2 linked regions of the Bombyx mori genome follow. The protein of the gene in region 2 purifies or fractionates together with the protein of the main gene of each other region. This does not show direct contact. Links are inferred from orthologs where the notes say so. Each region holds a gene or a part of one and is shown on either strand. Other genes may lie near its edges.

Region 1 (5,769 bases), on a different chromosome or scaffold from region 2:
CGCTCGCTCCCAAAAGTACGCTTGCGTACAGTGAAAAATCTATCGTTATTAATCGTTAAGTTAATTGTTATAATTGCCTGTTGACTTTGTTGCCATTGCTATTTGTTGAGTGTTTGTTGATTTTTTATAAAAAATACACTATGCCGCGACAAACTGGTGTAGTAATCAAAAGAAAGGGTAGAAAAATTGTGTACGACGTATATTGCTTCATTATAAAACAGGGGAAGAATGATATGGAAAAAGTAAAACAGACTTCGGAAACAACAAAAACATCAGTGAGTACTGTTAGGTGCATTATTAACGAAGCTAAAGGCTCTGGCTTGCTCGCCGTGTTTGGGACACCGGGTAAGAAAAGATCTTGCAGCGCCGTGTCCTGGTCGCAAAGATAGGACCGGACTTGTCGCTGCCTGGCGTCGTGTCGTCGATGCTTGGCGGTGACGAGTCCTGGAAGGCTATGCTCGACTTCTGCGAGTGCACCATCTCGCAGAAGGAGGCGGCGGGGCGAGTGAGGCAAAGCTCTCCTCACTACGCAGAAACCCGCCGCCGCCGAGCAGGGGGTCGGGACCGGGGTATCGTCCGTAACCCGGCCCCCTAAGAGCTTCGGGCTCCACCCGCTTTGTGCGGGGAGGAGCTTAGGCGTGGGGCGGCGTGGTAGGTCGCGTTCCCCCGACCGCTCCGGGGGAAGGTGTAGCGCGGCGCTATCAATCGGGCTCTTGGCCCGTCGACCGAGGGAACCGGCGGTCATGTTGCTGGCGGCCGCCGGTCCGGCGTCTGGGGGACGGCGGGATGGATGTAATGTGCTCTGCGTAAACCCTGTCCCGCCGTCTCAATAACTCCGACTGGGTTCCCACCCGGTCCGGGGTAGGGCGCCGGCTGTGAGCGGCAGGAGTTTTTAGTGAGGTTCGACTCCCACATACCCCACCTGCCGTGCGGGTGGGGATCCGGCGATTTTCTCCTGTGGAAAAAAAAAGGGAAGAAGAAAGTTACCGGAATGGATAGTTTCGTTCAATCTGTAATAAAAAGATGTAATCATAATAACTACATAACAAGCAGCGAAACTCCGTAACGTAGAAAGGCTTCGAAAAATTTAAAGAAGATATACATTTTAATGGCTCGGAATGAAGTTTACGACGAATTATGAAAGAGCTAGGCTTCAGATGAAAAAAAAAACAGAAAATAATCGGAAGCTGGTAATTGAAAAAAGTAACATTCGATTACTACGAATCGAATATCTTAAAAAAATAATTAATTATAGACCAAAAAGAAGATCGAACGACCGAGTTGTAAACTACACCGATGAGCCCTATGTCGACTCATCACGATGATGGCGACTCGGGTGATGAAAACAGTGATGATGATGATGGTCAAGATTATGATAACGAAAAAAAAATTACAAATACCAGCTTCGCTTCAACTGAACCAAGACCTGGCAACAGCTCTAGTTTTGACTTAATAGAAGGAATATCTATTTTACCCCAAGATTAAATTATTACAATTATTAACCTATATTTTTTGTTGATGTTCTAATAAATATATAAATAAATACATATGTTGATTGTAATAATTTAATTGCATTATGACGCAGCGTAAATAATGTTTTTGCACGTGAGTGTACCATGCGCAAACTTACCCCCACTACGTCAACAAATGCTCAAGAAGTTTGCCGGCTATTATACCAGTGGTGTGGATTGGGAGAGGCCTATGTCCAGCAGTGGACGTTTGGGCTGTTGATGATGATGATGATGATACCATTGAAATATTATTTATTTTTCATTTAAATTTTTTTCAATTTTTTTTTATATATTTAATTGACATCTGTCCTTAATAAATATACCAAATTTCGAGTTATCCAACGTTCCGAAGGGAGTCAAAATCATGTTCAAAGATTCCGTTACATACTAACATACATTGTATACGTCTGAAGCTAATAAGAGCGTATTAAAATAGATAATATTACTTTTCATAATAATCAGATCAGATGATTTTCAGACAAATAAACCTGCGTCAGGTGTGCGTGGAAGCGCGGGTGAGCAACCAAACCGGCTTCACGCGAGTCACCGTGCTGCTACTGACCAACGTCGGACAATTACTGCTCTGGCAAGACACCACTAACCAACTCACAAGGTGTGCCCCAGTTTTTTTTTATCTATATATTAATACGTGAAGCAAAAACTTTGTATCCCTTTTTACGAAAATTGCGCGGACGGAGGAGTATGAAATTTTCCACACTTATAGAGAATATAGAGAAGTGCACAATGCTAATATTTTTTTAAAATAATGCATAAAAGATACATTAAATCAATAAAGAAAACATTACACACACTACATACAATGTATTTGACGCACACACTCATGCATACTATTTATTGTCAAACTTTGGTTCTTGGCGTCTGTTGTCAAATTGAGAATAGATTAAATATTGTTTGTCTTTTGTTAATATTTTTTATAGTGTAGTCTTAGCGAAATTTGTGATTATAGAAGCATAAAATACAATCATAATAGTGTACAAACTGACAATTCCAATTAATTATAGTCGAATTTCGACTACTGCGGGACCTCTATACCCTATGCCCTAATATACATCGATATTATTGACGATATCTGGTTTCATGAAAATTTTAATTGAAGGCTAACCGAGTAATTGCAAATAAATATTATTATGTTATTTACTCTTATTACTGACACATAAATAATGTTCTTCTGCCAGACCAATAATACTAACTCAGTTATGTACTTAAGTTTGATGGTAAAAAGAGCCCGTTACTTACAACCCATTTCGATAAAGCGGCACGACACGAGACTCCTCTCACCGTGGCCACCGGAAACTACATACCCGATCCTGCGGACCAAATGGTAAACAGTCGACGTCGCCCAAAACACGTCATTTTGGATCCTCCCGATCCACTAACGGTGCTTTTAGGTACCTCAAGCACCGATCACAGTCCTCGTCAAACCCATCCCATGCGACGAAGGGCTCGACGAGTGAATTAACCCACAGACACAGCCCACCGAGTTTCTCGCCGGATCTTCTCTGTGGGTCGCGTTTCCGATCCCTAGTAGATTCTACGAAGCACTGCTCTTGCTAGGGCTAGTGCTACCAACACTCCCGATTCGAACCCCGTGAGCTGACCTACTCGCCCGGTTACGCTGACATAGCATCTAAAGGTCATCTAGTTAGGTAGAAAAATATATATATATATTAAATTGAAAGCAATTTTGTTATGTTCTTCCAGATGCGTATTTGGTCTCCAGCATCAAACCATCATAACTCAAGCCGTTCTCACGCACGAAGCTCTGTATTTCACGACTAAGCACGGCGAAGCGTTCGTCGGCTACATATCGCGTAAGACCTCGCCCATAGCTCTATCTCAGCCAATCAGGAAAGAGAAGGAAAGAGACAACAAGAGCACCCTTGTGAAGTTCTTAGAAAAAGGCGACTGTACTTCTGTCAGGATAATGAAAATACCGAATATATATCGTGCCGTCTCTATTGCAGTCGATGGCGAGGGATTAAACTTTGCCTGTCTACAGGTAATATTTTTATAAAAGTTAAGTTGCTCTCATGTACCGTCCATTCCCTTGCTGCTTTCAAGTTTTTTTAATTGTTTTTTTATTGCATAAATGTGTGAACGATCTTACAGCCCACCTGGTGTTAAGTGGTTACCGGAGTTCATAGACATCTACAACGTAAATGTCACCACCCACCTTGAGATATAAGTTCTAAGGTCTCAAGTATAGTTACAACGTCTGCCCCACCCTTCAAACCGAAACCCATTAATCATGCTTTTCAATTGTATATGTATAAAATACGGCCGTCGTTTCAAAGCCATTGGGATGAAATAAAAATCGTGTGTGAAATTCATTGTGGTTCGATTAATTTCAGATCAAACCCACATGCGGCTTGAGGTCTGTGCCGGAACTATCCCCGACGAGTTTGTCGAAGCACATGGAGTCTCTACGCGAAACTGCCGCTGTAGACGACTTACTGCACGACGTTTTGTTTAAAGTAAGTCTTTATTGTTACGCCGGTAAGAGTAACGCCATCTATCGCCGAATAGTCGAACGAATATCGAAGGACCTAGTAGTGTCTCGAACGCTCGAGAAGTACAACGCCATCTATTGTCAGATAGCGGAAACACACAGCACTAGACTAAAAAGCGTTGTAGATATGGCACGCAGTCCGTTAGTACACGGAACTACTCGAAGCGAAACAGCGATCAAAACAAATTTAGGATACAATCTCACCGCAAAGTCTTTGTTTTCAACTATGATTCTTTTACATTCGGCATTAACAATCAGTTGTTTTAAAAATGTTATACAATAAAAGTAACAAAATAAATATTTATTACAGGTAGGCACGAAACTGTATCCCGCCCACATCTACATTATAGCAACGAGCAGTGAATACTTATATAAAATGTATCAAGAGAACCTAACGGACAACAACGAGAAACCAATAATTGCATTAAACAATATCCATCCCGACGTTTTCGATAGAATATTAAAATACACTTACACAGGGACATGCGATGTTGCGGAACTGGGCCCTTGCAGTTTGAAGATTAAAAAGGAAGATGTCATTGGAAAGAAAGATTTGGATGATATTGATATTGAAGTAGATGTTATCGGTGAGTTAAGTTTTATATTATGACGTCACACCTAATGATACTGTACAGATGTGGTTCGGATATATTCTGCGACTTTAAAAAAATAATGGTGCGCGTGCAACTTCGTGCACGTGAAAGAAGTGAAACTTCTTTTGCGGTGTGTGGTATTGTGGTTTTCTTAATTTTTCATCCTTAAATCAAATTTCTCTTGTAATAGGGAATTATTTGTATAAGAGAAACAACCTAGCTCGCTTTGTCCTTCCCCTCTACACGATCGAGTGGTACGCGAGATGCTCTATATTTTCACTCTCGCTCTTCCTAAATTGTATCTTTTCCTTCTAGCCTTAAAGAACCTGTCGCGAGTTAAATTTGACTCTCAACGCGCCTAAAGAAGTTTCACTTCAGAAAAGAAATTTCGGTTTCTTATCATGCAGCATTTGTCCAACATACCTACTTTTTTTTTTTGAGACCTTGATGCTTGGACAAAATCACACATTTATTACTGTAAAAACTTGCAGAGAACTCGTCCGAAATATCAGCGTACGAAGTCTACAGCAAACAAAACGAGAAATCGACCAGGAAATCACGTAATCGCCGCAGTACTGACACTCCGACCAGACAAAACTTGTACTGTGACCCCGTAAGGATGGTGCAGGCCGCGGCTAAAAGGCTCCACGTTAAGGGACTACAAAAACTTCTTGATAAGTTCTAGTATGAATCCGATATTTTTAAACTCAATACTTATTATAAATCGTTGCCAAGTAATTCATTCATTAAAAAAAAATGGTTTAAAGTTAGCCCCTGGAGAAAGCCGTATAAAACAAAAATCATCTATATATTAATACGTGAAGCAAAAACTTTGTACCCCTTTTTACGAAAATTGCGCGGACGAAGATGTATGAAATTTCGCACACTAATAGAGAATATAAAGAAGGAGTGCAGAATGCTAATATTTTATTTAAATTATGAATTATTAATACATTAAATCAATAAAAAAACATTACACACACTACTGTGTATTTGACACACACACATTATAAATACTCTTTATTTACTGTAAAATTTTTGTTATTGCTTAGAGTCTGTGTGTCAAATTGAGAATAGGTTATTATAGTAATTTATCTTTAATATTGTTACGCGTTGGGGGGGGGGGGATAAATAA
Region 2 (5,185 bases):
AATTGACCGGCAATATATTATCAAACAGTACCCATGATTATTTTAGGGGAAAGTTTTCGTTTGAGACATTCCTTATCCCGTTTGTGCGGCATTGCCACTGCGACGGAACTCTTATTCCATAATTACTCGTATTTTTATTGTGTCCATATTAATAACAAATATTAACACAATAAACAACTGACTGAATTTCAATATAGAACTTCATAACAGTATATTAAAAAATATATATTTGAATTTAGAATTTATTGTCATCCTTATATATCTAATTTAGGTTTCAAATGGCCAGTATTGTAAAAAGGCAACTTCATAGGTAAAAAGTACTAATTATTATGCGTGAAATCAGCAGTTTTAAGAGAAGGCTGCCAGGCAATGTGAAATAAACAAAACAAGTATTTATGTTTTACTTTTATAAGTTTCTAGCTGTATTTGTGTTTCCGCTTTGGAAGGACTGCAACTATCTGCCCTGTATCGTGTATTATTACGATAAGATCTGTTCTGGATTTGGTGATGAATAAGCAGAGCTAGTCTTTATTTGATTAAACTCTTTACTCTGTTAATAAAATGAAGTTCAAACATAATATTGTCGAATAGCGTTTGCGCATATGAACTGTCTTACTTTTTTTATAAATATGTTTAATTTCCAGGCCTCCGAAAAGCTGGACTTTCATTATTTGGGGAGTCTACAAAATCAAAGAATGATGCGAATACCGAAAATAATGGTGAAGGTTTCACTTTTAATTTTAGCGGAGAAGAAAAAAAGAGCAGGGGAGGCTTGTTTAGTATGTTCCATTAAAAATTATTTCTGTTAATATCTGTGCTGGATATAATTTATAAGTCAAAATAACTAAATAAATAAACATAATAAAATAATCTACAGTTTTTTAATATGTTTCACATTTAAATGCCCAATGCTTAGGATTTTCTTCTGCAGTATTACTGGTGTGAAAGTGTTCTATGGTCTCATGTTTTACAATTATATCAAAACTAAAGCATCTATACATTCATGAGAAAAGTGTTACAGCCTTTGCCTTTGCAAGAAAATCAAACTGATTACATTATTTTATGTACTTTTTATGTGAAGTTTGAAACAAGTTTTGTCCAATAGATCAATGATGTTAGATGTTTAAATCTTACTAGTCATTACTCTTGTTTTTTCGGGCCGAAGGCCAATCTCCCACGAGGTCCCCGCGCCTAGTTGGCGCGCGGGGTATGTGGGACTTGATCTGCAGGTCTTGGGAGCAGACCGCGGCTAAGGAATTTTATGGGCCCTACCGCACTAAGCGACCCCCTGCACTCTTACACCCGACGTCCGATCTCCGTCCGGAGTCAGAACCCGGTCAGACTAGGGGGGTTCCCGCGGTCAACACTACAACCAGACACGCGGCGCCACCCCCGAGGACGCCAGACCGACGGGCCGTCGAGGCGATTTTGAAGTCGTCCTGGCCTAAAGGATAAGACGTCTGGTGCATTCGTATGTAGCGATGTCTCGATGTTCGAAATTCGAATCCCGCAGGCGGGTACCAATTTTTCTATTGAAATACGTACTTAATAAGTTTACCTTGTGCAAATAGCACTTTATGGTACATAGGCAAAGACAGAAAGTATAATTATACAGCCTTTAATCTCAAACAGTCACATTATATAAAAAAATCATTAAAAGAATATGAGTCTTGAGGTTTTGAATAAAAAATAGTATTTAATTAGTTGTTTAAATTTTATTGCTATGTCATAAATGGCCAAAAAAATCAGAAACAAATGGATATGAATTTAAAATGTGTTTTGGTTTCAGGTGTAAACATTTTCAAAGTAACATAAGTAAATAGCTCTCTATTTGTATGTCTCAGTCAGATTATGCTACAAAGCTTATTTACAATAGCGTAGTTGTCAGTTTACTTGAAAAAAATGAAACATACAGATATAATTATGATTATAGTACAACAATATTTATGTCCATAAATATAAGAGCATCTTTTGGTTAAGAATGTTATTGATGTAATTGACATGCACGTACTGCTATCAATTGTAACAATATAAATAATGGTGCAAAAACTTCACTGTATTCTATAGCCGAATCACCTTGTAGTTTTCTACAAAGTAAAAATTTGAAAACAAATGTTAGCCCTAAAAATATTCCACTCCAAGATGCTCTATATAAAGAAGCTTTATAAGAATTTTCCAGATTCATTCTTATGCATACAATACAGCAAAAGTATGCATTCATCGCATCACTCACAAACAAAGGTGCAAATATTGTCCACCATGCACTATTCAATACACCATCAATTTTAAGAGCTAACAGTACAGAAAATATAGTGAGCGTTATAAGATTGATCCATATTTCAAATACAGTAAGTCCAATCCATTGCACAATCTCATTTAGTGTAAAAAACATTATCACCCTTTCACTAGTTTTGATTAGATCCGAGCATTGCTGTCCTAAATATTCTTATGTGGATGGATGATGAATGTCGTATTTGTGAGCCAAAATCTAGTTCATCAGTCAGTGGCTCTAGATCATCTGTAAAAGATTAATGGCATATAAGCAAAGATATGATAGATTTATTTTTCCGATGTATTTATTGTAAGTTAGATTTGACAAAACCATTCAAATGAATATAGTTACTGGAGTGGTATACTTAGTATTTGTTGCTCACTATATAACTTCAGGAAATTTGGTAACTCACCAACTAGGTCTACAGATCCAGTGTTTACTTCGATTTGACAGGTGCCTGAAAATAGAATTTCCAGCTGAAGTGCCAAATTACAGCATCTCTGTATTGCCGCGCCTAGACCATGAAGTATTATCTCCTTTTCTCCTCTTGTTAGTAAATCGCAACATTTATCTAGTTGTGCCTGTAAATTAAGAAATATTTAATATCAGTGCTTACATAGTATAATGGGATGTTTTGATGTTTTTCGGTTTTACTTTAAAGTTCGTCTTCTTCGTAATAAACAACACATTGTCTCCATTTACTGGCCTAGGTGGTAAACGCTTTTTAAGAGCATAATTCTTATTAGGATAGCGTTTTTGCTTTTTCTTCGTTTCTTCTTTCTTCTGTAGACTGTTAGGATCTGCCATCACATCTGCCATAATATTTATAACCTCTGAATATTGACAGGTGTCAAAACTGACATAATGCCAAATCAAACCGTTTAATAGAAAAGTCACTAGGTACCTACCAACATAGGTACCTAATTAAATAAACCTGAAAAATACAAAATTAACGAAATCAATTAATTTCCATAACTTTTGTCATCGCCACTTACGTGATTATTTGGATGATGTTACCTGAAGAATCTTTGGCGGGAATGAGAGGAGAGAGTTGTGTGAATTGTGTTATTTTGTTAATTAAGTGTTTCTTTAGGTTTAAATCTGTAATAACGGTGGCTTGTTAGCTGTTTCATTTAATTTCATTCCATTTGATTAGAGTTGCAAATTAGAACACTTCATCTCATTTCGCTTCATATCATTTTTCACATAACAGATTACGTACCTAAATTAAACGTACACAATTGAAGATTCCTATAAACTCGACATTGGCAACAATAATTTAACGCAGCCAACAAGCTAATATCATTTAATAATTGTAGTGCATTTTTTTTGCTTAGGTGGACGGACGAGCTCACTGCTCGTCTGGTGTTGAGTGGTTACTGGAGCTCATAGACATCAACAACACAAATGTCGCCATACATACCGACAAACGAGGATGTTTAGTAAAAATAATTAACAAAGCTGACTTGCTTAATTTTAATTTTGTAATCCAAAACAAACTCAACTTTTCATAAAATCGATAATTAATAATATAATATAATTATTTTAAACATTAATTTTAAATTAAGCTTTTATATAACTATCAAAATATAAATATAATAATTTATTAAATCGATGTATCGGATTATAGCAAGGTTGATGCTAAAGTTGATGCAAAAATAGGAAATTAGTGTTTTAAGCCTGTTGACTTGTGTCACCGATGCTGACAAACAACAAGCAATCATAATCAATACGTTTTCGTTGTTGGATGATAACAAAATCATGTTTGCAGAATTTTAAAAATTGTTGGCTTATTTATCTGAATATCAAATGGATTGACAAATGATTTCATGAAATGTAGTTGATTGTACTCCTAATCATTTAAAATTTTATGTTTAATGAATCAAAATGGGTTGTGTATGTTGCTCGTTAAGTTCTTTTGTATCCATAATTCTTGATGCCCTGGAAAGGTAATTTTTATGTCAAACTTGTTTTCATATAAAAATTCTAAATGACGATCAAGAATTTGTCAATGAGTACAGATTTTTTTTTTCTTGTTGATATACCTACATACATAAAACGACTTCTTTTATCAGAGTATCATTGTGGACAGTATGCGCAATGCTAACATGTTGTTTGATGCTGACCATTCTAACCGTCACCATCATGGGCATCGGGATAGGCTACCACTACTGTTTCGTTCAATCATCAGTGGATGCAATGGGTAAGAAAAAGCATTTCGTATTTGGTGTAGATGTATAAAAATGTGTAATGTTTTGTTGCTAGTGGTAGGGTCTTGTGAGCGCGAACGGGTAGGTGCCCTGCCATTTCTGAAGTGAAGCAGTAATACGTTCCGGTTTGAAGGGTGGGGTCGCCGTTGCACCATAGCACTAGGACTCAGAACTCATGTTTTCAGATGGTTGGCGGCGCTTATGTTGTTAATGTTAATGGCCTTTTTTATCGCGTTCCAACCCGGCGGGCTGGTTCTGACCCAGAGGGGAATCCCGGAACACCAGCGGCATCGCCCGGACGGGCCGCCGTACTGCAGAGACCGGCGTCATTGATCGTAGACGATCGCCTTGACGACCCGTCAGTCGGGCGTCCTCGGGGCGGTGCCGCGAGTCTGGTTGTATTGTTGACCTCGGGAACCCCTCTACTTTGCCCGGGTTCTGATCCCAGGCGGAGATCGGACATCGAGTGAAAACCCAACTCCCCTTGCACTCGAGAGAGTCATTTGGTGGGTAGGGTTCTAAAAACATCCTTGAGCTCGCGGTCCAATCTCACCATCTGTGGAAGGCGCGAAAACCTCATGTGAGAGGTTCGGCCCCCTGCCCGAAAAAAAATGTTACACAACTAAGTAGTGAAGATTTCGTAGAGCTTTTATTTTCTTAATTACAATAGGGTTTTTATTACAGCTCAGGCAGCGAAAGCGGC

Evidence for each region. The genes of interacting proteins can lie anywhere in the genome.
Region 1: the proteins of Tm (region 2) and inhibitor of Bruton tyrosine kinase purify together in Homo sapiens (affinity purification with mass spectrometry; 3 studies listed by BioGRID and IntAct, with this or other methods). This does not show direct contact. The link is inferred for Bombyx mori from reciprocal best matches to the Homo sapiens genes POP7 and IBTK.

The regions. Positions count from the first base shown.
Region 1 is NC_085125.1:10,563,693-10,569,461, forward strand, and holds part of inhibitor of Bruton tyrosine kinase, read left to right. Parts: intron 1-1,989; coding exon 1,990-2,124; intron 2,125-3,233; coding exon 3,234-3,531; intron 3,532-3,883; coding exon 3,884-4,006; intron 4,007-4,351; coding exon 4,352-4,628; intron 4,629-5,119; coding exon 5,120-5,318; intron 5,319-5,769. UniProt on the Homo sapiens protein: Acts as an inhibitor of BTK tyrosine kinase activity, thereby playing a role in B-cell development. Down-regulates BTK kinase activity, leading to interference with BTK-mediated calcium mobilization and NF-kappa-B-driven transcription.
Region 2 is NC_085114.1:11,854,415-11,859,599, reverse strand, and holds Tm (Tm protein), read right to left. Parts: upstream 2,927-5,185; 5' UTR 2,926-2,926; intron 2,855-2,925; 5' UTR 2,854-2,854; coding exon of another isoform or gene 2,685-2,853; intron 2,519-2,684; coding exon of another isoform or gene 2,406-2,518; 5' UTR 2,393-2,405; coding exon 1,985-2,392; 3' UTR 1,696-1,984; downstream 1-1,695. Other genes in the region: uncharacterized protein LOC101738502, read left to right, coding at 645-793; uncharacterized protein LOC101739983, read left to right, coding at 4,160-4,221, 4,348-4,475, 5,167-5,185. UniProt on the Homo sapiens protein: Component of ribonuclease P, a ribonucleoprotein complex that generates mature tRNA molecules by cleaving their 5'-ends. Also a component of the MRP ribonuclease complex, which cleaves pre-rRNA sequences.